7 linked regions of the Canis lupus familiaris genome follow. The protein of the gene in region 1 interacts with the protein of each later gene in a pairwise test. Links are inferred from orthologs where the notes say so. Each region holds a gene or a part of one and is shown in the gene's direction. Other genes may lie near its edges. The genes, in order: CHD3, SIRT6, IMMT, PTN, SERBP1, YAE1 and HABP4.

Region 1 (4,227 bases):
GTCGGGTAAGGGGGGAGCGAGTAAATCAGAAAAGAGTGCAGATAAAATTTACAACAATTATAAATCACTGAAAAGCCTGGGCAAAGGGGAGAATCAAACATGGACTCCTTTGAAGAAAAAAAAAAACCTCAATCATCGTATCTATTCATATCTCTTCCCCCCAAAAGTCACTAGGATTTCTGTCACTTTTTTTTAAAAGAAAGGGGGGAAAAATCCAGCCCCGTGCCTCACTTGGACGGTACGTACACAATTAAATGCGTTTTGACTCCAGCGAGGTATGTAGAAACAAGAGTTATATATAAACATATATTTCATCTTTTCCTTTTCAATGCCTGAAGGGGAAAAAAAAAAACCTTCACATCAAACCACTCCCTTCTGAAGTATTCAGAAAAAAAAAAAAAAAGCTTTTCTTTAAGAGAAGGGAGGTGGGGAGGAAGAGACTAGTAAAGAAAAGAAAAATATTTAAATCTAGTTGGACTAGTATCTAACTAGTTAACCTTTAACAATTTATGCTGATGTCAGACTGAGCATGAGTACTGATTAATGCCCCCCCTCAAATATTTTTATGGGGGGGGAGTTAGAAAGAGCAGCCATTTTTGTTTTATGCAGAAACCCTTCGTGCCCCCCCAACGCGCACACTCACACACACTCACACACACACAGTACACAAGGAAAATATCTCTATTAATCTGTGCACTAATCAGTTATGAAAAAAGGGAGAAATTTGTGGGTTTCTGGGTAGAGGCTAGGAGATGGGGGTGTAACAGGGAGGAGAATGGGGGGGTGAAAACTGAAATATTAAGCCAGCCATTTTGTTTTAAAAGGGGATTTTTCCCCCCTCTCCCTTTCTTCATGGAGGGGGTGGCGGTGCTTGGGGGGGGGTTGTTTTAAAAATAATTTCAAGGCGGCCATCTTACTGCCTCAGCTCTGAGAAATATTTCTGAGCGCCCCCCTCAGAATTTAAATATATTTAAAGCAACGGAGAGGGGGGCAGAGAGAAGTCGAAAACTTTTATATATATATATATTTTTTAATCCCCCTTTCTCGTTCTCTTGGGAGGAAGGGGAGGGGGGGAAAGTCTCTCAATTTTTTCCAAGACAATTTTTGGGGGTGGTTCGGCCCCCCTCTTCAGCCGGCGGCCCCGAGGGGGGGTTCTGGAGGGGGGTGGCCCGGGGGTTTGGGGGGCTGGGGGAGGCGGTGGGGAGGAGGAGGAGGACGCCGCCGAGGAGGAGGAGGAGGAGGAGGAGGAGGAGGAGGAGGAGGAGGTGGTGGTGGTAGCGGTGGGGGAGGCGGGCGGGCGGTGGGTGGGGGGGTGGTGGGGGGGCCAGAGCCACAGGATGGCTTCCCCTCTGAGGGACGAGGAGGAGGAGGAGGAGGAGATGGTGGTGTCGGAGGAGGAAGAAGAGGAGGAAGAAGAGGGCGACGAGGAGGAGGAGGAGGTGGAGGCGGCCGACGAGGACTACGAGGAGGACGACGACGAGGGAGTGCTCGGGCGCGGGCCGGGCCACGACCGGGGCCGCGACCGCCACAGCCCCCCCGGCTGCCACCTCTTCCCGCCGCCGCCGCCGCCGCCGCTGCCCCCGCCGCCGCCGCCGCCCCCGCCGCCAGGTAAGCGGCCGCCCCGAAGCTCTCCCCCCGCCCCCCACCCCCCGGCCCGAGCGGGAGCCGCGGGCGCGCGAGGCCGGCCGGGGGCGAGGCACCCACCGCGCGGCCGAGCCGAGGTGAATCCGGGGGCGCGGGGCGCCAGCGTCGGGCCCGGGGCCCCGGGCGGGCCGGGCCGGCGGGCGGCGGGCGGCGGCGGCGGCCGCGGGGCCAGGCCTCTTCCCCTCCCCCGCCGCACCCCTCCCCCGCCGCCGCCGCCGCAGCCGCCGCCACCGCCGCCGCCGTCGCCGCCGCCCGGGCTGGAGAGCGCTGGGCGCGAGCTGCGCGCGCGGACCGGGCCACTCGGTCGCGGCTTTCGGGGGAGGAGGAGGAGGAGATTTTTTTTTTTTTTACCCTCGGCTGGGAGGGGGTAGGCAGGAAACGGCCGCGGCGAAGCCAGGGCCCCCTCCCTGGCCGAGCGAGGGACCGCGGAGACCCTGGCGGCCGGACGGCGGCGTGGAGGAGGGGCGCGTGGGGGAGGGGCGGCCGCGCGGGCGCCCCTCGGGCTCCCGCCCGAGTGGGGTTGCACTGAGGTGACGGGGAGTTTCCGCGCGTGGAGCGGACCGCGGGCCTCACCGCCCCCCCTCAGGGGCGGGGGAGGCGGGGGTGGGGGTGGGGGCCAGCGTCCCTGGGACCCCCCACCTTCGGGAACCTGGGCGCCCGCCGACTCCCCGGGGCGCGCGGTGGCGCGTGGGGGAGAGGTCGCGTGAGCGCCTGCGGGCGGCGGGTGATGGGGGGCAGGTGGTGGCCGCACTCCACGCAGACCACTTCCTGGACTCACGCTTAATCCGCCTCAGGGCGCCCCCTCCCCCCCCCCCGTCCTAATCGGGAGAGCACTCCTTGAAGGTTGGGGAGCGCGGGGAGAGTGTCTGTGACCAGATGCCCCCAACTCCACCCCCTTTATCAGCACCCTGCTCCAGGCTCTTTTGTGTCAAGTGCGAGCCCCCTCCCCCCCCCCCCCCGCCGTGTGACCCCGTCAGTCTGGGGTGGCCGAGCTGCCCAGCTGTGACTCTCACGTGGCTGCCATTCACTGTCACTCTCGCTGAAACCACCCGCACCTTGATCATGCCGGGGAATGGGGGGGCGTGCACTGCCCACCCAGCTGTTCTGCAGCTTGACCGTCACTCGGCACCCCTCCCCCGGGATGACAAGTCCTCTGGCGCTCTCTGGGCAGTTCCACCAGGGCTGGAAGGGACTGGGACAGCCTGCTGCCTGGAGTGGAGGGGGGGCGGCAGCAACGGCCCCCCTCAGACCACCCTCCTAATGCAGTGACTGCCGATCTTCTGGAGGACAGGGGAGCATCCTTACGGTGCTCGCATCTTTGGGGCTGGAAAGGGGACATCCACACCCCCAGGCCTCTGGGAGCCCTGTAGCACGAATGCATCAAACTTCAGGACGTCTATCTTTGTAAAACTGTCACATTGATCTGTGTGGCTTATGTGGCAACTGTTCCTGTTCGGTTGAGACAGCCTTTGAGGAGTATGGGGTACCTTCTTGGGGTGAGGGTGGTGGAGGGTACGTGTCTGATGGAAACGGGGACACCTCCCCTCCCCAAGCTTGTCTGAAAAAGAGAAAAGTTTTCAGAAAGTTATCCCAGAGAACCCACGAGGTTTCAGGAGGGAGGAGGAATAAAGGATGGTGGGGAGGGGGTGCCTGGAACCCAGCTGATGTGCTAAAAAGAGGGAGAGAAAGGATGTCAGGTTGTGTTGCCCCGCGGACAGTTCTCACCTATTTGTAGGGCCAACTTGGAATGTGGTGTTTATGCGTTTTTGGTCTGAGATTTGGGAATGTAAGAGAGGGGCATGAAAGAATCTGAGGTCGAGGTTGGGTCTTTTGTGTCAGTCCTCCCTCCCCACTTCCCCTCTGCTCTCTCAACAGCCCAGAAGAAACGTCAAATGTTTTTAAAAAAATTTGTATCTGAAATGAAAACCCACCTCCTCCCTCTTCCAGGGCGATCGTACCCCCCCTCCCCCAGTCTTGAGGCCCTCCCAAGTCAACAGAGTGACCCAGATGCACTACCCCCCCCCCGGACTTTCTGAGGCAAAACTTTGAGAAAAATATTTTTGGTCCGCTCGTTATTTCTGTCTACCTAGGTGTGGGCAAAATAAGCCTCCTAGAAGGAAATGTGTGCGGGCTGCCCTCCCTCATCCTTCTCCAGAATATGAATTCGCACATATTAGAGGTCTATTGTTTTTCATCCTGACTGCTTTGATTCTCACCATTTTGTTTTACATTCTTACCCAAGACCAATTTTATCCCTCCCCCCCTTCTCGGCTCCTTACGTTGTAAAACGTTTAAAATAATAGCACTCATGTTGGTGGGGGAAGGGAGCAGGAAGCCAAAAACTCATTTCTTCTCCCTCCCCCTTCTGGCAAGTCTCGAGAAATAATATAACATAATATATAGATGTGATTCCTTGGGGGTGGGGGTGGGGAATGATTGTGGGTGGTGCGGAAAATTCTGGTAGTTTCTTTGCAAAAGGTCTGAAAATACAAACCCACCCCCTGCCTGCAGTACGCATGTGCAGCAGACCTATTATGGTGGTGCGTGGTGGGGGAGGGAGGGGAATTTGAGAAAAAATAAATA
Region 2 (3,640 bases), on another chromosome or scaffold:
CACAAGGTGCCGCCTTTGTTCTCCAGCGTCTCCCCCGCGCGTTTCTTCAACGCATCCTCGAGGCCACCAGCCCCAGTGCCCTTGAGCGGTCTCCTAGCGGCGCACCTGCCCTGCCCAGGGGAGACTGCCCCGCACCTGGGCAGCGCTGGGCAATCCGCAGCGGCGTCCAAGGCCCCACGTTGCACACACCAGGCCCCCGCCGCACACTTGCACGAGTACCCTGCGTTTGTGACTTTCATAAACTCCCGAAATGTGCAGCAGAAAGAGCCTCGACGGGAAGCACCTGGCCTCGGCGACGGCGGGGGGTGGCGTGGGGACCTCCATTTGCTCATTTGCAAGAAGAGCAAAGGGGACGCGCTGGCCACTTGTGCCCCTCATTTTATTCTTTTGCAAGATTTTTTTTTTTAATTCATTTACGAGCACAAGTAGGGAGAGGGAGGGGCGGGCTCCCAGGGGAGCAGAGCCGCACCCGCGTCCCATCCCAGGACCCGACCTGAGCCGAAGGCAGACGCCTAACTGACTGCGCCACCCAGGCGCGCCTGTGCCCCTCATCTCAGGGGTGACTGCACAAATCTCCGCGGGGTGCTCGCCGCGGTCTCCCGCCAGCCGCCACCGCGTCCAAGCGGGCCGGCTTCCCTTTGCCAGCAGTTGACATGGCGCCTGCGGCGACAGGCGAGGCGCATGCGCCTTGGAGGGAGCGGCCCGGCGAGCGCGGTGGAACGCGGCTCCGCCCCCCCGGCCCGCCCCATTTCCGGCGGAAGCGGCCTCAACAAGAGAAACTTTATTGTTCCCGTTGGGGCGGCGAGGATGTCGGTGAATTACGCGGCGGGACTGTCGCCGTACGCGGACAAGGGCAAGTGCGGCCTCCCCGAGGTGAGCGGGGCCCGGAGTCCGGCAGGCCGCCCGCAGCGCCGCGGGCTGGGCGGGGCCGGACGGCAGCGGGGCATTGTGGGAACATCGGGAGGCACCGAGGCTAGACAATGGGAGGGACTTCCCAGGGAGGAGGGGGCGGGAAGTGACGCCCCCTGCGCTCCCGGGGACCCGGACGCCCCCAGCCCCGGGTGGGCCGAGCGGGTGACGGGGGAAGCCGGGGCGCAGCTGCAGGGAGGGCGAGGCGAGGAGGCGAATAAACGCCCTCGGAGCGCGAGTTAGGCCGGAGAGGAGCCCAGGGGCGGGAGCGCGGGGGCCGCACGTGCCAGGCGGTGGGGGAGGGTTTGGGCTGCAGGGACGGGCTCAGGTGTCACAAAGACCCCTCCGCCGCTGCCGGACGAGCGGGGAGTCCCTGCCCCTCTGGGTCCCCCGCCCCCCCGTGGGCGGGGGCGGGGTGGGGGGTCGCCCCATCCGCTGCGGGCTGGGCTGTGCCTTCTGCGTGAGCGGTTCGTGCAGCCCGAGCCCTCAGCCCCGTCCCCAGCCCCTGTCTCCTCCGCTTCCTCCTCCTGCCGGTCGGTCGCCTGAGCCCACAGACATTTCTTGAGCACCTGCTGTGCACCAGCCAGGTGCTTGCTAGGCCCTGGGGCCACAGTGGGGCACAGGGCATCCCAAACCCCCTCATTCTGGCAGGAAGACGCCCGAGGAGCAAGTAAATATAAGAAAGTAGAGGGTGGAGAAAAGTAAGGCCGGGAGCGGTGGTGAGAGCTGGGGCTGCACTGAAACCAGAGCCCAGGAGGCATCGTTTACATGACTTTTGGGCTTTCTTTCTTTCTTTCTTTTCTTTCTTTTCTTTCTTTTCTTTCTTTCTTATTGTGGCAAAATGTACCACCTTAACCATCTTTAAGTACACAGTTCAGCGGCATAGAACACGCTCATGCTGTTGTGCGACCACCCCCAGCACTGTCTGCAGAACCTTCTGTCTCCCCACACGGAGACCCCGTCCCCAGGAAGCACTGACCCCCGCCCCCTGCCCCACCCCTGGCTCCCACCACCTCCTCTGTCTCTGTGGACGGGCCTCCTATGGGGACTTCCTGGGAGTGGGGTCCTGCGGGAGGCGTCCTTCTGGGTCTGGGTCCTCTCCCTGAGCCCGGTGTCCTCGGGTCCGCCCACGCGGGGGCAGGTGTCGGGATCCCTTCCTTTCTAGGGCTGGATCATATTCCGGACATGGATGGACCGCATTGTGTTTATCCTTTCATCCATCGATGGATGCTTGTGTTGATTCCCCATTTTAGCGATTGTAAATGATGCTTCTGTGAACATTGGGTGTGCAAACGAGGGGCCTTTTGAGCCGAGACCTAAAGGGGGTGAGGGAGGAGCCATGTACAGCCCGTGCACAGGATCAGGCCTAGGCCTGGTGTGTTGGAGGTACAGTGAGGAGGCATGGGTGGCTGTAGCAGAGCGGGCGAGGGGGAGAGGGGGACAGGATGGGGCGGGTGTGCAGGGCCTTGGGGGCCACTGGGAAGGATTAGGCTTTTACCCTGGGGGAGTCCTGGAGGGCTGTGGGCAGAGGGGGGACCTGAGGACCAGCTGCCTTTTCCAGTGAGTTCTCTCCCCTGGATGAGGCAGGGCTTCCCCGCCTGTGGCTAGTGACCTTGCCCTCCGGGACACAGTTTGACCTCCCCCTTTTGCTCCATCCCCTGACAGATCTTCGACCCGCCTGAGGAGTTGGAGCGCAAGGTGTGGGAGCTGGCACAGTTGGTCTGGCAGTCCTCCAACGTGGTGTTCCACACAGGTGCTGGCATCAGCACCGCCTCGGGCATCCCAGACTTCAGGTCTGTGGGCGTGGAGGGGAAGCCGAGGCAGGGCTGCCACACAGCCAGCAGCTCCCTGTCAGCTCACAGAGGCTTGGGCATCAGAACCCCTCCTGCCACCTTCCCCCTGGGGGTGTTGAGCTTGGGGAAGACCCTGCCCTTGCAGACATGTCCCTTTAAGGCATGCTCAACCTTCTGCTCACATCCCATTCCAGGACCTGGTCACCTGGCCATGCCTAGCTGCAAGAGATTTTGGGGAATGTAGTCTTTTTGTTTTTTGGGTTTTTTGTTAAGAATTTATTTATTCATGAGAGACACAGAGAGAGAGAGAAGCAGAGACACAGGCAGAGGGAGAAGCAGGCTCCCTGCAGGGAGCCCGATGCAGGACTCGATCCCGGGACCCTGGGATCATGCCCTGGGCCAAAGGCAGGAACTAAACTGCTGAGCCACCCAGGGATCTCCAGAATGTAGTCTTTTTGCCTGGGCTCATCACACATGCCTAAATATTGGGTTTCTTTCTTTCTTTTTTTTTTAATATTTTATTTATTCTTGAGAGACACAGAAGGAGAGAGGCAGAGACACAGGCAGAGGGAGAAGCAGGCTCCATACAGGGAGTCTGATGTGGGACTCGATCCTGGAACTCCAGGATCATGCCCTGAGCCAAAAGCAGTTGCTCAACTGCTGAGCCACCCAGGTGTCCCTTTTTTTGGCGGGGGTGGGGGGTGGGGGGAAGGGATTCTATTTACGTCAGATGATGGGAAGGTCAGGAGCAGTTAGCTCCATGCTCACTTGCAAATATTTTTCTATCAGACCTGGCGCCAGGCAAGTGGCTTTAACCATCAAGCTCTCAGCCTCCTCACCTATTAACAAGGGCGTGCAACCAGACAGTGTCTAGACTCCTTCCTGCTTCAGGCATCCTGTTGTTAGACAAGAACCTTGCTGAAGTGTAAGGGTCTCAA
Region 3 (3,640 bases), on another chromosome or scaffold:
TTCGATCCTGGGTCTCCAAGATCATGCCCCAGGCCAAAGGCAGGTGGTAAACCGCTGCGCCACCCAGGGATCCCAGTTTTTCTTTTTTGTTGACGTGTTTCCTTATCTTTTTCTTTCTCATATCTGTTATCTACTCATATTTTGGTTATATAAGTTGCTATGAGTATCCCTTCCTGCTGAGGAGATGAAATGGGCACCTCTTTTTCCCTGTGGATCTGTAGGATCATTATTTAAATTGAAAAAGCTGGTGGTTATGTTGAATTTACAGCCTCTAATAACTATAAAGAGCTAACAGTGCTTAAACCCTTGTTCTTCTATTTGAAGTATATGCTAGCCTTCTTTAAGCATTTTTTTGTCTTAAAAAAACCCAAAACACTATTTTGAAAAAATTCAGTTATATATAAAAGTAAAAATAGTATAATGAATCCCCATAGATATGTCCACCAGATTTAATAATCTACTAGCATTTTATCATACCTTCAAATAAAACTGATTTTCTAAATCTATATTTTTTGTTCTTACATTTTTGAGGAAATTCAATGGAGGACTCAGTAGGAGAAGAAGGGAAATTTAAAGTTATGTACAATGGAAGGATTTGTTTTTTAACTCTTCTGTATGTATTTCAGCTGTAGCCAAGAGCTTAGAAGATGCTCTGAGCCAAACCGCTCACATCACTCAACAGGCCATTGTAGCTCAGAATGCTGCGGTTCAGGCTGTCAACGCACACTCCAACATCTTGAAAGCAGCCATGGACAATTCGGAGGTGAGCCAAAGAATGGGTATTGATGTAGTATTTAGGACTGATTTCTTCCTTCTAGTAGGGGCTTTCTCTCAGTAAGTGAAGACTACCTAGAGTAATTGTTTTTTTAAATAAGCAAGGCAGGAAAAATCTTTAAATGTTATTTTTAATGAGTTTTATATACAGTTTTATCTCACAACAATGATATGGTACAAGAATTAGTTCATATTTGCTTTCATATCTTAATAGTGCTTGAATATTACTTGTCATTTGCTTTTTAAAAAAAAAAAAAGAAAAAAAAAAAAAGATTTATTTATTCATGAGAGAGAGAGAGAGAGAGAGAGAGAGACAGGCAGAGGGAGAAGCAGGCCTGCAAGGAGCCCGATGTGGGACTCAATCCCGAATCCCAGGATCACACCCTAAGCCAAAGGCAGACGCTCAGCCACTGAGCCACTCAGGCGTCCCTTGTCATTTACTTTTTTTCACTTTAAAGTTTCCAACCATTTTTAATTAAAATTAAAAAAAATTTATTTATATTCTTTTTGCCTTTTTTTTTTTTTTTTTTTTTTATGATAGTCACACAGAGAGAGAGAGAGAGAGAGAGGCAGAGACACAGGCAGAGGGAGAAGCAGGCTCCATGCACCGGGAGCCCCACGTGGGATTCGATCCCAGGTCTCCAGGATCGCGCCCTGGGCCAAAGGCAGGCGCCAAACCACTGCGCCACCCAGGGATCCCTCTTTTTGCCATTTTTTAAAAATAAACTTTTTACTTTGATATACTTTAATTAATTAATTAATTTATTTTTTATTATTATTTGAGATACTTTTAGATTGATACACAGTTATAAGAAATAATACAGAGGGATGCCTGGATGGCTCAGTCGGTTAAGTATCCTACTTGATTTTGGCTCAGATCATGATCTCAGGGTCATGAGATCGAGCATTGAGCCCTGTGTCTGCTCTGAGCTGGGCATAGTGCCAGCCTGATTCTCCCTCTCCCTTTGCCCCCACCCTTGCTTCTCACACTCTCTCAAAAAAAGAAAAAAATAGAGATCCCATGTACCCCCATACCAGTTATTTTAGTATTTTCATTTATTTGTTTGTTGAACGTGGAGCCCAATATGGGGCTTGAATTCATGACCCTGAGATCAAGACTTAAGCAAGAGTCAGACACTTGACTGAGCCACCCAGGTGCCCCTGACACCAGCTATTTTAAATGCTTAAAGATGATTATTTAACTTATATTGAGCACTTTAGAGAATAAAGTAATTACATTGATTTAAAACTGTTAATACCTGGAGTTAATTATTTTTTTTTTTTATAATTACATTCAGTTATTCAGTGTGTAAAAATGTTTCTTGATACTAGGTCATTTAAAGAGTAAAAATAAGTACATAAACTATGAATCTCAGGGATCAGGATCTTGCATGATTAGTAAAATTACTTTGCCACACTGTGTACTTTTTACAAAATTGAAACACACTGCATTGTTTTAGTCCTGTGCACATAAATCACAAAAAAAGTTAAATTAGGGCTTTGATGTAAATAGCCTGAAATTTCAGCCTTTAAAAAAACTTAAAATTTTGGTTTATTCAAAGTACAAGAAAGAAGAAATTTAAATTTCAGTCAGAGTTCAGTCAGAAAAGTGGAAACCACGCAGAGAATACTTAATATTTTGGCTATGCAGATGTGGGAAGGCAGGGAGTTGGGTTCAAATGCAAGTAGATTGGTATGTTTCAGGACACTGAATAAAAGCTTTATTATTTATTTTTATTTTTAAAAAATATTTTATTTTTATTTGAGAGAGAGCATGAGCGGGATGGGGAGAGGGAGAAGCAGGCTCCCCACTGAGCAGGGAGCCTCATGTGAGGCTCCATCCCTAGGACCTTTTTGGGATCATGACTTGAGTTGAAGGCAGATGCTTAACTAACTGAGCCACCCAGGCGCCTTATTAGAAGATTTAAATGTCCATAGTATTTACTTTGGCAGAAGACTATGTAAGAGGGTATTTCCTCTTCCCAGTGAACACACAATATGTAATGCGTGTGGATTTAGATCGTATGAAATCTGTTGAGATCAAGATTTTACAACTAAAGGACATCTTACAGTAGTGGTTAATTAGATTAGAGGGTATTAGCTAGTGTTACAAAATAACCAGAAATATGAATGAACAGAAGGTTTGAAATGTTAAAAATGGATTCCAACTTCTTGTTTCTTCTAGTAAAAAAAAACAAAAAACAAAACAAAAAAAAACTGGTGCACAAGGGCTCTTAAAATAGATACAGAATTACTTTCTCAAAGCAGTGTTTTGGAATAGTTGGATTTGGCTTAATAGTAGGATTCTACTGTTTATTCTACAAAATAGCTTATCCTTGGACCTCTATAAGGATTTTTAAGGAACCCTTTTGTGTGTGTGTGTATGTGTGTGTATAACATTTTACAAAATTCAGCTCCAGGTGGGGCAGTGGGTTTGATAATAGTTGATTTTCACTTTACCAGTTAGAGAGGGTCATTCTTGAAGATGATGTGTTGGAGGAGTAAGGACTGTATGAATGTATAAACTTTCTACTTAGCCTTAAACTGATTTTGGTAGACAGACCTACAATTCAAATTTTAAATTGTGGTGCTTCATTGAAGAGTGATCAACAAACAATTCATAAAGTTCTTGTTCTTATTAACCTTTTCTGCTTCATAATCTCCTTTTGTGAATCTCATAACAAAGTCATCTCTCCTTAGAAAATATTTATATGTGCTAGACCACAATCTTTCATAGTTTTGTTCGTTGGTATTGAGGGGGGTGTTGATGAGGTTCGTGAACTTTGGTCCTAACCATGAACCTTAGATTAAGGGACCCTACTCTGAAGAAATACTGAAATTTTTTACCTTTGAATTTAATGCCCTT
Region 4 (3,640 bases), on another chromosome or scaffold:
GGTTTCACTCTTGGCCATTTATCCTAGAGAAATGAAAACTTAACATTCCTCTAAAAATCTGCACACAAATCGCGGATAGCAGCTTTACTTGTAACAGCCAAGAGCTGGAAACAACCCAGCTATCGTTCACCTGGTGAATGGTTAAGCAACCCGTGATATATGCCTACTATGTATACTACTCAGTAAAAAAAAAAGAGGAACTGATTGTTGAAACGCAAAAGCTGGATGGACCTCTAGGAAATGTTTCACTGCTGAGTGAAAAAATGCTGATCTCAAAAGGTTACATACTGTATGATTCCATTTATATAACATTCTTAAAATGACAAAAATTACGGAGATGGAGAGGAGATGAGTGATTGCCAGGACTTGAGATGGAAAGGGAGAAAGGTGCCAAAGCTAAGCCTGTGACAGGAATAACCCAGAGGACTCTCACGTTGGAGCTCTTTTGCACTTTAATGGTATTGGTGTTTGCTCGTATCTATAGAAGTGACACTTCACACAGAACTAAACACACACATTCATGGGTACACACAACTGAGTGTCTATGAAATTGGCAGAACATGAATAACCCCTGAGGAATGTGTCCCTCTGCATTTCCGGGTTGTGTCCATGGACTCTGGTTATGCAAGATAATCACAATTGGGGGGAAATAGGGTGAAGGATATAGGGATCTCTCCATATATTTCTTTCAACTACATGTGACTCTACAATGATCCCACTGCAAAAAGTTAAAAAGAAAAGTGTCTATCTAGAGGAACTCAAAGATTTCTCTTTCATCCTACCTTGTCTTTAGCGGAGTGCAAATACCAGTTCCAGGCCTGGGGAGAATGTGACCTGAATACGGCCTTGAAGACCAGAACCGGAAGTCTGAAGCGAGCCCTCCACAATGCCGACTGCCAGAAGACAGTCACCATCTCCAAGCCTTGTGGCAAACTGACTAAGCCCAAACCTCAAGGTAGGTTCCTGTCATCATAGCATGCTTTCTTTATGCATATGTTAATGGGTCATGCTGGATCTTCAGATGTGGAGACTCGAATATTCTAGAGGGAAATCTTAGGTGAATTACCTCAAGAAAGGGATTGAAAAAGCCCTTTATGTTGAGCATCACACCAGTGCTTTTCAGCAGGCAATTGATGAGTTCAAATTAGAATCCTCTGCACAGATGGGGAGTGGGGGTGGGGATTGGAATAATCTCCTCGCACAAATAAACAATTTAGCAGAACACGCCAGTCGTTGAATGGTGACTGTATATTCCAAGTCCTAAATCGAGACTGCATCCTGACAAGTATGATGAACACATTTATGAAGATCATGAGGCAGAAAATCTAAAATCAGGTCTCTTCTAGATTATCCAGCATATATAGTTTGCATGAAGTCAGCCACATGATTTTACATTTCTCCTGTATTTCTCACAATTCTTTCAGTTTTACCAAGTCCCTTTATCATAGAATTTTAAAATTATATAGGGCTGTCTTTCTAGTCATTCCCAGAAAGTTACACTCTGCTCTCATGCCAGAGAAGGGGAACCAAAACAAATATCATGGCTATGGTTTCACAGAAATAGAATCTCAGCTGAGGGCAGACAAGGGGGGATTGCAGTCTTGTTTCATGGGTGTTAGGGGCTGAATGGTGTCCCCCCACCCTGCGCCAGCTTAAAGTGAAATAAATCATATGAGTGGGTCCCCGTCCAATCTGTCTGGCATATAAAGAAAGATTAGGACACAGACACATTCAGAGGAAGATTGTATGAAGACACAGCAAGAAGATGGCCATCGACAAGCCAAGCAGACACACCTCAGAATAAAGCAACCCTGCTGACTGTTGATCTTAGACTTCTCACCTCTGGAACTCTGAGAAGAATTTCTATTGTTGAAGCCACCCATGCAAATGAATACAGTAGGTCTCTGGGAACTCTAAGATACCTCCCTGTTTTTTGCTCATATTTGAGCTTGAAAATGGACCAGAAAAGTCTTACTGACCAGATTAAATATAAGGGGAAACTCAGAAAAATGAAGTCCATAATAAATGAAAATGGGGATAAAATACCTCCAAAAATCAGGAGGATTGGCTGGCCTGCTGCTGATAGTCAGAAAGGACTCATTTCACAGACCTAGCTCTTTAGCCTCTGATAGAGTTGTCCGTGGATATGGTTACCTTCAACTGCTTGGTGGCCAGATGCAGGCTAGAGTTGCAGATGGCACATCTAGGATTCAAGCTGCCCTTTGCAGATCATGGAAATCTGCTGGTTGCAGTGTGTATTTGGAAGGCATGATGTGAGGCTGGGGTCAGTACATGAGTGCGTGTGTGCCAGCTTTACGAGTATTACTTGCCTGGAGACAACTACACAGATCTAATGAAAATTAGTGGCCGTATCTATCCAGTGAGACTTCTCCAAAACTGGAAGAACTCAGAGATATACAGTGTCCAAATTACTTTGTAGCCAGACAGAGAACCAAAATGTTCAGCATAAATAGAGCATTGGAAAGAAAAGGGATTAAAGAAGTCTCCATGTTCTACCATAGTGGTTCTCACCCTGGCCTGCACATTAGAATTTCCTACCTAAAACTCCCAGTTGTCCAGGCATAACCCAGACCAGCTATCTCAGCCTCAGTAGCCTTGAAAATTAAGATGTCCCATGAAAGATTTCAGTATCAGCCGGAATCAAGAATTACTGAGTTTGAAACTCATAGAGACCACACACACTCACATGTGCGTATACGCATGCATGCCCATGCATGTGTGCACACACGTGTACACAATCTACTCCGTTCCTTCCTGTGGGGGAGAGAGACTGCAGTCTAATGGATGAGTAGGGAAAAATGAGAGAAGGATTAGGTGGTGGATGGTGGTAGGGCTGGGTGGATATGGAAAATGTTGAAAAGTCTGGAATAGATAGGACAGTGTGGGGACATGATTCAGGAAGACCCTTCGGATTATTTGGCAAAGACAAGTATGTGAGGATTTCTTTTGAACTGGACTGGCAGATAGTTTTCCATTTTCTCATTTGGTAATATATAATGAAGGTTATAAGTCTGGCTCATGCTTTCACCTTGAAAAATGGGGGTAAAATATTTTAAGTGGGTAAACAGTCTGTAATTTCAAATATCAAAAATTAAGGTATATACAATTAATTGAAAATGGGATTAGCCTGAGCGAGTTCTATATTTCACAGCACTAGGTAAAGCCTAACACTGATGTGCAAAGAGGACTCCTAAATGGAAGAAGACACTTTTTGGAGCATGATTTCTTATTATTTTTGTAAGTTTTAATTAAAGTGTAGTCAACATTCAGTCTTGTATTAGTTTTGGGAGTACAATATAATGATTTAGCAATTCCATACACTCCTTAGTGCCCGTCATGACAAGTGTACTCTTAATCCCCATCATCTATTTCCCCCCATCCTCCCTTATCTCTCCTCTGGTAAACATCAGTTTGTTTTCTTTAGTCAAGAGTCTGTTTCTTGGTTCGCCTCCTTTTTTTCTTTGTTTTGTTTCTTAAATTCCAAACTTGAATGAAATCAGATGGTATTTGTCTTTCTCTGACTTATCTTGCTTAGCATTGTACTCTCTAGCTCCATGCACATCATTGCAAATGGCAAGAGTTCATTCCTTTTTATGGCTGAATGGTATTCCATTGTGTA
Region 5 (3,640 bases), about 11 Mb from region 1:
CCTGGAGCACGTTATTAGAGGAAAGTCCCACTGCTACATCATTTAAGGCTTATGCAAGTAGGAGATGCTAATCATAAAGTTAAATTGAAATGTTACTAAGGCAGTGTAATTAAAAGATTCAATGAGATATTGCGTCTTCATTTTCTAAACAAATAGCTGTGAAACAAACTTGGAACATTGTAAAATAAAGGTTGAGACACTTATGGTTTAGAAATTATTTTTTAACAACATTGACTCCATAAAATAATATAAACAGGGATATGTTGTAAAGTGCGAAGTCGTGTCGGAAAAGACGTTTTGCTTCATTTGAATGCTTTTGCTTATTTAAAAAAATTTTTTTTATAATTCTTGCAGATAGAGTTGTGTATCTGGGTTAAAGTATTCTTGATTAAAGAAACAATGAAAATTCATCTTGGGGAGATTGTTAATTTGTAGAAATGATTAAACTGCTTAGGTTAATATGGAAAAGATTTACTTAAGGTACCTTTGGCATAATTTGTAACTTTTTTGAGGTCTTCTCCAAAACAAGACACATACACAAAATACTGATACATTTTTCTTGATTCATTAATTACTCTGAAGTCTCTTCATGCATTTTGTAGACATCAGGTTAGGTATCATATTTTTACATTGAGCTTCTCAGAAATAACCGTTATATATAATTAGAAAGTTTTAAAATTAAAATGTGAAATTGATTATGAATAACTGAATTAGGGTATTAATTGACAGAGCTGAAGCCAAAGCTCTTATTTCCTGATTATCATTCACTGCTCTAGAAAAAAAACTTTGCAGATTTATCCTACTAGCTGTCTTAAAGGGATGTTCACCAACATTTAAACTTCCTCTATATTATTGTAATAAAACCTTTGAGGTGTTTCAGTAGTATATCAATTAGGCTTTTTTGCTTCTGTTTCCTAGAAACTTAAATGCTTCTAATTAATGAATTGATAATACTGTTTTGCAATAGCAAACAATTAGTATGTATAATTGACTTTGCAGGTTTTCTGGATTTACATTTAAACATTAATTTAAATTGACTTTATATGTGTGTGTGTGTGTGTGTGTGTGTGTGTGTATATATATATATATATAAAGAGCTTATTTATTCATGAGACACAGGGCGAGGCAGAGACACAGGCAAAGGGAGAAGCAGGCCCCATGCAGGAAGCCCGATGTGGGACTCAATCCCGGGTCTCCAGGATCAGGCCCTGAGCTGAATGCGGTGCTAAACTGCTGAGCCACCCAGGCTGCCCTAAAGTTGATATTTTAAGAAGAACCGTCTACTGCCTTTAGATTGGCTTAGCACTAAGGAATGACAATTAATTTGGATATTAGACAAAGGGGCGAAGACGCAGATATAAAATTCATTGGTACTTAGAGTGAGTGGTAAGTTATTAACAGTTGTGGTGTTACAGGATTTAAAAAGAACAAAATGTTCATTATTCCTTCAGAAAAGGATTGTACCTGCATTTAGAAAAACTAAAACACACTCCAAAGTACTATAAGAAAGGTTTGGAACTAGAAGGTGAAAATTTATTCATTCCAAACATACAGGAAAAAATTAGGAATTAAGCAGTGTAAAATTGTCCGGCTTTTGTTTTGTTTTTTTTACAGAGTGGGTGGTATACCTTATATATAAATACAAAGGAGGACCTGGATTTCACAAATATGTTGACATTAAGGTTACCTGGCTGTATTTAAGGCTTGGATTTATTTGTGCTTATAGCTTTTCAAGGTTCCCTGATTTCACTTTTGAGTCTGTAATTCTGCAATTTTCCCAAGTCAGACTTAGAAGAGTGCAGACCCAGAATTTTCTTTAAAACTCACAAAGTGATTTAGTATTAATCCCTGATACAGACCTCCCGTGCAATCTATCCAAAAGTCTTCATCAGGGGTTCACATTGGAATCTAATCTGAAGGACATATTTAAAATGTACTTACCCAAACTTCACTAAAGATTATGATTTGGTAGGTTTCAAATGGGCCCTAGAGACTTGAGTGGTTGTGATTACATACCTCTGATCAAGACTTGCCAATATCACATGTAGTTTATAAAGTTAAAAGTGAAAGGAACTCTTCCTTTAAGATCACAGCTGATCTCCAAGTTTACATATTACCTTAGTGGTATTGATATTTTTAAATTATCATTTGTTGTATTTGTTCACGAAGTACAGATTGGATTTTTGGTTTTTTTTTTTTTAATGTTTTTTTTTTTTTAATTTTTATTTATTTATGATAGTCACACAGAGAGAGAGAGGCAGAGACACAGGCAGAAGGAGAGGCAGAGACACAGGCAGAGGGAGAAGCAGGCTCCATGCACCGGGAGCCTAACGTGGGATTCGATCCCGGGTCTCCAGGATCACGCTCTGGGCCAAAGGCAGGCGCTAAACCGCTGCGCCACCCAGGGATCCCTCTTTTTTTTTTTTTTTAAGCTTTTATTTATCCATGAGAGACCCAGAGAGAGGCAGAGACACAGGCAGAGGGAGAAGCAAGCTCTTTGCAGGGAGCCTGATGTGGGACTCGATCCCAGGACCCCAGGATCACTCCCTGGGCCAAAGGCAGACACTAAACCGCTGAGCCACCCAGGAAATCCCGATTCTTGGTCTTTTTAAGAGAAAGCTCAATAATTAGAAATTTGCAGTGTTGCTTTCCTGTTAATCACCCCATGACCTACTCTTAAATTTTTAGGCTCATGCTGAAGATTCGGTTATGGACCATCATTTCCGGAAGCCAGCAAATGATATAACGTCTCAGCTGGAGATCAATTTTGGAGACCTTGGCCGCCCAGGACGTGGTGGCAGGGGAGGACGAGGTGGCCGTGGGCGTGGTGGACGTCCAAACCGTGGCAGCAGAACTGACAAGGTAATTTTAAGAATTCTTTTTAAAGTAATTTGAGGACCTCTTTTGGTAAATCAGTGCCCTGGGTCCTTTTGGGGCTAGGATTAGAAGGAAGAAGTAGTTAGATATACCTTCAAGAAATTACATTTTAGGCTGTATTTTTGCTTAAAAGCACTTAAATTGACTGAAGAGTGCTTGCTAGTAAAGTTAAATTTTCACTTTTTTGAGTATTTGGTGCTGGTCATGGTGGTGTGCTAGGTATTTTATGTACTATGGCATTTCATTCTTGTTACTATATTGATATCCCCATTTTACAGAAGAGGAAATTTAGGTACAGGGAACCAAGTTAACTTGAGCTTTAGCTAAAGTCTACTTGAAATGCCAACTATCTCCTTTGCCTTGACTCTTGGCTACATTTTTGAGTATCAGTGTAGCATTTGTGTGCATAATTGTGTGACACTAACCGGATGATTATTGACACTTTTTCAATAATCTAGAAAAAACTAGACTGCAGTGTTGAGAGCTGGGATTCATTTTTGTCCTCCCTTTATAATTTAATGCCTCATACAGTGTATATGACAGGTTCTTAAATATTTTTATAGAAGACCTAGTGATTGATAAATTTTTACTCTGATCATTTGATGCCAAAGTATATGCTGTTAATGACTGAAATTAAAGTATTAGCAGTAACCTTTGCGTTAGGTTAATTCATGGTCTCTGTCTGGCTAGGAAACCAGTGACGTCCTCCTGAATTCTCAACCCATGATATGCAAATTGGGGACCTGATTGAATCTGTCAGTGT
Region 6 (4,325 bases), on another chromosome or scaffold:
TTATTTATTGTTGGATCATGATCAGAGAATATGACTTATAAAACGTCCGGGTTTTTAAGTTAAGGTATTTTATGTGGCCAACTATGGAGTATTCTTATACATAATTCCATGGACCTACCAAGTAAAAAATATATATGCATTATATACATAATATATATTGTATTCTGTATAATGTATTCAATATTATACACAATATATATTCCATGTATAATATATAGTAACTACTATATATAGTATGCATATATATGCAACATACATAAAATTAAAATTTTGCATGTAAATGCAAAATTCTGAGCATTTAAAATGATCACCTAAACCACCCACTCCCCCTGACACACAGGCTCATGGTTCCCCTTACTTTGCTCACTTTTTTTTTTTTAAGATTTTTTTTATTTATTCATGAGAGACAGAGAGAGAGAGGCAGAGACAGGAGGAGGGAGAAGCAGGCTCCTTGCAGGGAGCCCGATGCGGGCTCGATCCCAGGACCCCAGGGTCACGCCCTGGGCGGAAGGCAGGTGCTCCACCGCTGAGCTCCCCGGGCTGCCCAGCTCACTTATTTCTCTGTCTCACAGCATGTATCCCTTATGATCTGGTAACAAACTACGTAATTCACCTATACCGTGCTTCTGGTTCCTCCTGCCCCTTCCACCGGAACGTAAACCGGAGGAGAGCTGCTAAGTCAGGTCTGTCCTTCCCTGACGTACCCCGAAAGCTGCAACGGTGCCTGGCGCCACAAAATGCATCAAATAAATAAATCATCACCACCCCATCACCACGCAAAAAGCTAAACGGCGGGCAGGCAGCCCGGGGGGCTCAGCGGTGGAGCACCTGCCTTGGCCCCAGGTCGTGACCCCGGTCTCGAGATCGAGTCCCGTGTCGGGCTCCCTGCATGGAGCCTGCTTCTCCCTCTACCTGTGTCTCTGCCTCTCACTCTCTGTGTGTGTCTAATGAATAAATAAACAAAATATTAAAAAAAAAAAAAAAAAAAAAGCTGAACGGCCCGAGCCCCGGTGTGGGTTCCGTCACCCGCACGCGTCCCAGCGCCCCCGCCCCGGGTGGGGACCAGGCGGCGCCGAGCCCCTGCAGGTGCACCAGGGCCGGCCTCCGCAGCCAGGCGGGCCAGCGGCGGGCCCCGAGACCCCGGGAGAAGCGCACTCCAGGGGCGCCCCGCATGGATGGAGCTCGGACTGGCCGCAGGAGCTACCTTTCGGGCCCTACAGTCCTGTGCCGCTGACGGCTAAGGCCCGTGGACGTCAAACCCCTAAGATGCGCTGCGGGGAGCTTCCCAGACACCGAGACCTCGGCCCGTCGTCGCGCATCCACTGAACCACCTCCAACGGCTCCACCCCGGCCGGAAGGCAAAGCGTGTCCCCGCACGTCCCGGCTGCCCTCCGAGGAGGTCCGGGTCCCGCAGCAGCGACTCCCGCCCCGCGGCCCGACCCGACGTCACGCACGCATGCGCGGCAGCCCCCCGCCCCGACGCGCAGCCTTCGCCCCGCCCCTCGGACCGGAAGACGTTGCGGGCGCTTCCGGCGCCCGGCCGCCCTGCGGTTGCCTCGGTGATGTCGTGGGTTCAGAGGGCCCCGCTGGTCCGGGGTCCCGGAGAGGAAGGGGACGTGTTTGACGAGGAGGCGGACGAGTCTCTCCTGGTGCAGCGGGAATGGCGGAGCCACATGCAGAGACGAGTCAAAGTAAGGCTGCGTGGCGGGCGCGGGGGACACACGGCGGCTTGTGGAGAGAGCGGAGCGCGGGCGCGAGGGTGGAGGCCGCGGGGCCCGCGAGGGCTTTCCAGGGGGTTACCGAGGGGTTACCCGAAAGCGCGCGAGACCTCGGGGCGCGCTGGACGCTGGGAGCAGACGCGAGCTAGGTGTAGACCTGGCGGGGGTCGCCGTGCCGGGAGGTTCGCGGAGGGCGTGGACGGGCTGCTCGAACGGGTCACGAGCCCAACGTCGGAAGTGGTTACTTTTTTTTTTTTTTTTTTTTTTTTTTTTTTTTATAGAGACACAGAGAGAGAGAAGCAGAGATACAAGCAGAGGGAGAAGCAGGCTCCACGCAGGGAGCCCGATGCGGGACTCGATCCCGGGACCCCGGGGTCACGCCCTGGACTGAAGGTGGCGCTAAACCGCTGAGCCCCCCGGGCTGCCCGGGAGTGGTTATTACTGGAGACACACGGGAAAGGTGAACCTACGAATGTCCAGAAGCAGGGATGCCCGGGGGGCTTAGCGGTGGAGCATCCGCCCTCAGCCCAGGGCGTGACCCCGGGGTCCCCGGATCGAGTCCCCCTGCATGGAGCCTGCTTCTCCCTCTGCCTGTGTCTCTGCCCCTCTCTCTCTATCATGAATAAATAAATAAAATCTTTAAAAAAAAATTAAGATCTTAAATAGTAATAATGATAAAAAGAAATGTCAAATAGGAATAAAGGAAAGCTGCTGTGGAGTACCGTGGGGCTAGGTGAAGGAATACCAAAGTTGGCTGCTTTTTTATTTGCTGGGTGTGCATTATCTTTCTCTGCTTTGTTCATTGAAACTAAGCTTAATGCCACGCCCTCAGTCTCCAGGTGGAGCAGTGGGAGCTGAGTTCACACGGCCAGGTCCACTTCCACCCAAGGTCTTTCCCAAGCAAAATACTGCCCGATTGGCCCTTGTTTGTTTCAGTGAAATGTTTGCTTAGCCCAACCACCACGTTACCAGTTTCAGAAACGCTTGATGTAAGGTGGGGGCCAGACCAGTGAGTCGCAACCGGCCTTGGAGTGCAGTGGCACCAGAGGAGATGGAGACGCAGGACAGTATCTCCGCCCACAGGGAATTTGCCGTTTATTTAAATTTAGATACCAGGCAAGATTTCTAAAACCGTACTTTGCATCTTTTTTTACTCACCCAGTTTCCTCTTTCCCTCCTTGAGCTGATTATTGAAGACCTCTGATAACCTCTTTTCTGCCCTACCTTCTCACCCAACGCTCATCAGTCAGTGTTGCCAAGGGGCCAGACATTAACTCTCTGTTTTCCTTCCTGTGAAGCCATTGTTAACACAGGGTTTTTAAAATCTGTATAAGAATCTATATTTTGGGGCAGCCTGGGTGGCCCAGTGGTTTAGCATCTGCCTTTGACCCAGGGCCTGATACTTGAGTCCCGGGATCAAGTCCCACATCGGGCTCCCTGCATGGAGCCTGCTTCTCCCTCTGCCTGTGTCTGTGCCTCTCTCTCTGTCTCTCTCCTCTGTCTCTCGTGAATAAATAGAATATATTTTTTTTAAAATCTGTATTTTTAAATGTGCCAAATAAGTCGACTCCTAAAGCGGGATATGCGAATAATAAACCTTGCTGGGAAGCATAATCTGCTCGGGTTGTGTGGCTGTGCCATAGGTTGTAGAACCATTATGTTAAATAGTAAACAGCAGTAAAGGCCTATTTCATCAACATTCTAAATCGGTTTTATGACTTTCCAGAAAAACCTACAGTGGTTTACTTGGTGTTAATTACAGCTGCAGTTTTCTTCATTACTTATTTTTAGGAAGGCTATAGAGATGGAATAGATGCTGGCAAAGCTGTTACTCTTCAACAAGGCTTCAATCAAGGTTATAAGGAAGGTGCAGAAATCATTATAAACTACGGACAACTCAGAGGAACACTGAGGTAATTTTTTAAACTTATATGCTGAGTCATTTTAACCTCAGTACTCCTGGAGGCCTTTTATAAAAGTAGTATGTAAAAATAAAGTATTTAAACTGAAGTGCTTTTCCTAGTGTTAAATCCACAAAAGAGTACTGTGACCATAAAATAATACTGCCTTCAGAAAGTCATCTACTTGAACCGTCAGTTCATCTACTTTAATATATGTCAGGTGTTGTCTCTTACTGCAAAGAAATGATAGGAACGTGTATATTTTGTGCTGCCTGAACTACCACCGATTTGTATCTCAAAAGTAATTCAAAAGATCTTCAGGTTTTAAATAAAGCTTTTAATCTTGGACATGTGGTAGAGCATAATAAAACAGACTTCTAGATTAGAAGTGCATGAGGAAAATTATATCTGGTCATAGAAAAATGATTCCATTTACTTTAGTGCTGAACACTGAATACCTGTCAAGATTCCATACTAATAATGGCACATATCAGAGCCAAGAGGTCAAATGGCAGAAGGAGCTAGGATAATGACATGCTTGTCATCTTGGAGACTTTGTACCTTTTAAATTAGGAAAAAAAATAAAAACATAAAATGGTTCGAAGAATCACTAATTTTTAAATTAGTTTTTAAAAAATTTTTAAAGTTATCAAAACAAAAAAGTTCATTGAGGTTTTAGAAAATTCAACTGTCAGAAATCAGAATT
Region 7 (4,421 bases), on another chromosome or scaffold:
TCCTCCAGAATACTTCCCTCAGGGAAGATCTGCACCAAGAGCCTATTGCTACACTAATCATTGGCAGGAGAATGGAATTACAGTGCATGATTTAAGATTAATCAAGTTTGAGGCTAGAAGGGGGCCCAGCTTCCCCTGGCCCATACAGGCACCTGATACCATAACAAAACACAGGTTCTGGGGGAAAATGTAAGAGGAAAAGGAAGGGCTATGAGACAAGCAGCTGGGTGCCAGACAAAACTTCCTGGAGGATTGTCCAGTTCAGAGTTCTCTGAGCTCCAGGCCTTAAATGAAAACAAACAAATGAAACAAAACCTCAACATGTCCAGAACTGATTTCATGATTCTCATCAAAATGGTCTCTTACAGTGCTCCATTTCCTTGGAATGCACCACCATGGCAGCTGCACAAGCCAGAAATATAGGAGTCATCATACCCTCTTCTTTTTCCTCAACACCCGTACCTACTGCGTCACCAAGTCCTGTTGATACAACCTCCAGAATAGCTCTTGAATCTACTGATCCCTTCCCTTCCACTGCCACCATTCTAATTCAAGTCACATGCATCAACTCTTCCCTGGAGCTCTGCGACAATCTTTTGCTTGGTCTCCTTGCATTTACTCCAACCTGCCTCCTATCTAGTCCTTCACATTGCAGCTGTGGCATTTTAAAATACATGGCTTAAGCTTAAAATTTGCTTCCCGCTACTCTTAGAATAAAGACCAAGGTAAGGGTCTCCGCCAGCTCTTTGCAATTCAGTTACAACGGTTTCCTTTGAGCGTTAATGGCTTGTGCTCCATCCCACCTCAAGACCTCTGTACTTGAGGTTGCCCCTGCCCCCGCCATTCCTCGTGTCTCAGTTTAACCGTCACTTCGAGGGAAAGCCTTTCCAGGCCTCCTAATTAGGTCAGGTCCCTCTGCTTCGGGCGCGTAAAAAAGTCCGTGCCTTCTGTTTAGGGCGCTTTTCTGTCTGCAGACTAAGATTGATGAGAACACGGAGCTCGCATCCCTTACAGCACAACCCCTTACAACCCCACTGCGTAGTTGAACGGCTGGAGGAATATACACACTTCCAAGAGTGGCCCGCAAGGACTGCATCCCGTGTCCCGGAAAGAGGACGGGTAACAGCCGGAGCCCGCCCGCACAGCCCGGCAGCCCGCACGACCGGCAGCCCGCACCCCCAGCCCCGCGGCTCCTCCCGGTAGCCCCGCCCCTGCGCCCCGCCCCTGCGCCCCGCCCCTGCGCCCCGCCCCTCTCTGCTGAGCCTGGGGGAGGGGCATAGAGGTCGCGTGACGTGACAGCAGCCCGCCGTTGATTGGGCTTCCAGGGACGCCGGCTAGGGGAGGGGGCGTGTCCTCCTGTGCTGATTGGCTGCCGAGGGGCGCCGGGGTGGGCGGTGGCGGCGGCGGCGCGGCGGCGGCGGCGGCGGCGCGGGGGCAGGTGCCGAGGGGGACGGGACCCCGCAGGGCAGGGCAGGGAGGGCGGCAGCGGCGGGCGGGATGGGTCCTCGCCGCCGGCTTTGCTGAGACTCGCTCGCGTGGGCTGCCGGCCGCAGGCCCGCAGTGGCCGCGGGGCATGAAGGGCGTTCTGGGAAGTCCCGTGGCCGCGGCCGCCGCCGGCGCCGCGATGCAGGAGAGTTTCGGCTGCGTCGTGGCCAACCGCTTCCACCAGCTGCTGGACGACGAGTCGGACCCGTTCGACATCCTGCGTGAGGCCGAGCACAGGCGCCAGCAACAGCTGCAGCGCAAGAGGCGCGACGAGGCGGCGGCGGCTGCCGGGGCCGGCAACCGCGGCGGCAGGAGCCCGGCCGGGGCCTCGGGCCACAGACCTGGCGCGGGTGGCGGCCGGAGGGAGTCCCAGAAGGAGCGCAAGAGCCTCCCGGGCCCCGGCGCGCCGCAGCCGGACAGCCCCGGGGTCGGCCCGCCGCCCCCTGGTACGCGCGCCCCGCCCGGCACCTGGGCGCCCCCGGATAGGCGCGGGGGTCGGGGGGCAGGACAAGGGGGTCACGGAGGTCATCGCTCTTGGCCGCCTCCCGACCTCCGCTGCGAGACCGGGGCCTGGGGGTCCTGGTCCAGAGGGAAGGGGCCTTGTGGCGTTGGAAGGTAGGAGAAGAGGACGGGAGGGGGCGTCACGCCCCTCGCGGGGGTGGAGGGGAGCGGGCGTGGAGCGAGGGTCTCAGCGTTCTGGAGCTGAGCCCTTACAAGTTGGGCAAAGTTGAGTCACACGGCTCGGGCGGTGCGTGTGGCGGAGGTGACCCCGGGGAGCTCAGAGGTAGAGCGTGCGGAGTCCGACTCCGTCCCCCAGCCGGACCTCTGTCTGCAGGATGCCGGTCGGGAGGCCGCAAGGGAAGCGTGGTGGGGAGGGGAAGGCAGGAGGGCGCGCCCGGCCGCGGGGTGCTGGAGCCGAGGCCTAGGTGACCGCGGGGAAGGGCTGTGACGTCAGGGCCAGGAGCGGAGTGCGGCGGGGACGGCCGCGGGGTCCCCGGCTGCGTGCGGGCCGCGCCTTCACCCCACCCCGGCACCCTCCCGCAACCGGCCGGTCGTTGTCCAGTGCAGCATGTAGTGTCCTTGGGATATGTAACCTGTCCTTAACTCGGGCTGCTTCAAGAAAAGCGTTTGTAACCTTTCACCTTTTCAACAAGCACAAAGTTCCCCACACCGCGTGTACCAGAGACCCCGGTCCGCATCTATCAGGGAGGGTGCTCAGGACTCGCTTGTCACCTGAACTGCATCAGCCCGTAGTCTGCAGGACTCCACCTGTGTTCCATCTGTATTCCTAAAATAAGGCGGTGATGCTGAGTGAGGCTTGCTTAATGAAAGTATTAAGGTTAAGATGTGTCGTCCGACCGCTCAGCCGTTGTTGGGCAGCGTATTCAACTCGCTTCTCTGGCTCGTTCCTTGCTCATGACAGCTGTGCTCCCAGCTGAGGTTACAACTCCTGACTTAAGGGTTGGGTCTTTGACTCGGGCAGGCTAGGTAGTATTTACCTGTAAAACTTCAGTCCAACAGTATCGCTTGTGAATCAGAAAATTCACTACAATAAAGATGTTGGAAACTATTTTAAATGCTTCTGGATATCTCAAGACCCCCATGCTGGTAGGGCCAGTACGTTTATGGGCCTATTTAAGGTGAATGAAGCTTGAGATACATTGTACATTTGGTGTTCTCATTTTTCTCATAAATCTATTTAGATAAACATAGTAATGAAAAAACTGAGGAAGGCTCAGCTTTTCCTCTCCCTTTTTAACAACTGAAAACAATGTGTTTTATCCTTTAGAATAGTGTGAAACTCCATTTAGTGCTATCTGTTAATACATTGCTTTTTAACCTTTTTAATGTTGAAAATCATGCATTATTATAAGGATTTTGAACGGTTCCCTAAATGTATGAAGTAAAGTAAAATTATCCTGTTTTTCTTACTTGTTAACACTTTGCATTTATGTACATACAGAACTATTTCTTTTTTTCTAATTTAAATGATATATGAGCTGAGTTGCAATCTGCTTTCCCTTAGCATTGTAATCTGGGTTTACTAACTTTTCTGTCAGTTGTTCATGATCCAGATGATCTGGCTTTTGAGATCCATATTAAAAATCTTTAGTTAATTTTGTAGTTAAAATGGAAATTTTGTCATTTGTCAATTCTTTTTCAGGCCTGTGTTCAGTTCATTAATTTACATTCATGTAGTTACTGTACTAAATTTTTAGAGAGCTACTCTCTCAAGGTTTTGTAGCCCTAATTGATATGGATTGTGCTTTTCTAACATTCAAAATTTTTAATTTAGAGTCTTATAAGTGAATGCTCAGTATGGACAGGAATCAAAGTCAAAACATATTTGACATATATTGGAAACATTTTTGGATACGGATGTGGAAAGCGTAAGATTTTCCCATAGAAACAGGTTTTTAACGTCCTTCACTATTGAACAACATATATAGACTGTACCCAAGCCTTGTTCGATAAATTCATTCTTGAAATTCATAGAGGCTATTTAAGCTTTGCTCTTCCTAACCTTTCAGAACTACTGTCCTTGAGTCAGAGCTCAACTTTATTTTGTAGAACATCTCACTGTAAATTTTATTATACTCTGTCCCTTCATATGGGCTTGGGTATAGGTCAGTGCTTAGACAACATGTGCCAGCCTTTTATTGGAAAGAGCTAGAGAAATTCAGTGTTTGCATTATCCACTTGGTGCTGCTGACCCAGCACAGAAACAGTCGGTTCAGTTGCAGTCTTGATCTCTTAGCACTAGATTGTGGGGGAAAAAACTGGACCCCTTTTAATCTTTGGGTGGTGGGGAGAGAATGAAATGTTCACAGTGTACTTATAATTATTCTAATAAGTAGCCAGTTATACTTAATGGTTTTTAATTTATGTACCAAAACTTGGGAAGAAGTTTTAGTACAAAGTATGCACTAAATGTC

Evidence for each region.
Region 2: the proteins of CHD3 (region 1) and SIRT6 interact in a two-hybrid assay, tested with the Homo sapiens proteins (2 studies listed by BioGRID and IntAct). The link is inferred for Canis lupus familiaris from reciprocal best matches to the Homo sapiens genes CHD3 and SIRT6.
Region 3: the proteins of CHD3 (region 1) and IMMT interact in a two-hybrid assay, tested with the Homo sapiens proteins (2 studies listed by BioGRID and IntAct). The link is inferred for Canis lupus familiaris from reciprocal best matches to the Homo sapiens genes CHD3 and IMMT.
Region 4: the proteins of CHD3 (region 1) and PTN interact in a two-hybrid assay, tested with the Homo sapiens proteins (2 studies listed by BioGRID and IntAct). The link is inferred for Canis lupus familiaris from reciprocal best matches to the Homo sapiens genes CHD3 and PTN.
Region 5: the proteins of CHD3 (region 1) and SERBP1 interact in binary tests that used the Homo sapiens proteins (3 or more experiments, as listed by UniProt). The link is inferred for Canis lupus familiaris from reciprocal best matches to the Homo sapiens genes CHD3 and SERBP1.
Region 6: the proteins of CHD3 (region 1) and YAE1 interact in a two-hybrid assay, tested with the Homo sapiens proteins (2 studies listed by BioGRID and IntAct). The link is inferred for Canis lupus familiaris from reciprocal best matches to the Homo sapiens genes CHD3 and YAE1.
Region 7: the proteins of CHD3 (region 1) and HABP4 interact in a two-hybrid assay, tested with the Homo sapiens proteins (3 studies listed by BioGRID and IntAct). The link is inferred for Canis lupus familiaris from reciprocal best matches to the Homo sapiens genes CHD3 and HABP4.

The regions. Positions count from the first base shown.
Region 1 is NC_049226.1:32,947,602-32,951,828, forward strand, and holds the start of CHD3 (chromodomain-helicase-DNA-binding protein 3), read left to right. Parts: upstream 1-1,312; 5' UTR 1,313-1,337; coding exon 1,338-1,608; intron 1,609-1,704; exon of another isoform or gene 1,705-1,786; intron 1,787-4,227.
Region 2 is NC_049241.1:55,814,630-55,818,269, forward strand, and holds part of SIRT6 (NAD-dependent protein deacetylase sirtuin-6), read left to right. Parts: exon of another isoform or gene 1-656; intron 657-744; exon of another isoform or gene 745-807; coding exon of another isoform or gene 808-873; intron 874-1,215; exon of another isoform or gene 1,216-1,579; intron 1,580-1,617; exon of another isoform or gene 1,618-2,295; intron 2,296-2,574; coding exon 2,575-2,702; intron 2,703-3,491; exon of another isoform or gene 3,492-3,627; intron 3,628-3,640. UniProt on the Homo sapiens protein: NAD-dependent protein deacetylase, deacylase and mono-ADP-ribosyltransferase that plays an essential role in DNA damage repair, telomere maintenance, metabolic homeostasis, inflammation, tumorigenesis and aging.
Region 3 is NC_049238.1:39,271,592-39,275,231, forward strand, and holds part of IMMT (MICOS complex subunit MIC60), read left to right. Parts: intron 1-626; coding exon 627-763; intron 764-3,640. UniProt on the Homo sapiens protein: Component of the MICOS complex, a large protein complex of the mitochondrial inner membrane that plays crucial roles in the maintenance of crista junctions, inner membrane architecture, and formation of contact sites to the outer membrane.
Region 4 is NC_049237.1:11,030,523-11,034,162, forward strand, and holds part of PTN (pleiotrophin), read left to right. Parts: intron 1-793; coding exon 794-955; intron 956-3,640.
Region 5 is NC_049226.1:43,517,502-43,521,141, forward strand, and holds part of SERBP1 (plasminogen activator inhibitor 1 RNA-binding protein), read left to right. Parts: intron 1-2,688; coding exon 2,689-2,862; intron 2,863-3,640. UniProt on the Homo sapiens protein: Ribosome-binding protein that promotes ribosome hibernation, a process during which ribosomes are stabilized in an inactive state and preserved from proteasomal degradation.
Region 6 is NC_049239.1:10,248,569-10,252,893, reverse strand, and holds the start of YAE1 (protein YAE1 homolog), read left to right. Parts: upstream 1-1,505; 5' UTR 1,506-1,562; coding exon 1,563-1,691; exon of another isoform or gene 1,692-1,859; intron 1,860-3,509; coding exon 3,510-3,631; intron 3,632-4,325. UniProt on the Homo sapiens protein: The complex LTO1:YAE1 functions as a target specific adapter that probably recruits apo-ABCE1 to the cytosolic iron-sulfur protein assembly (CIA) complex machinery. May be required for biogenesis of the large ribosomal subunit and initiation of translation.
Region 7 is NC_049222.1:70,965,819-70,970,239, reverse strand, and holds the start of HABP4 (intracellular hyaluronan-binding protein 4), read left to right. Parts: upstream 1-1,500; 5' UTR 1,501-1,573; coding exon 1,574-1,931; intron 1,932-4,421. UniProt on the Homo sapiens protein: Ribosome-binding protein that promotes ribosome hibernation, a process during which ribosomes are stabilized in an inactive state and preserved from proteasomal degradation.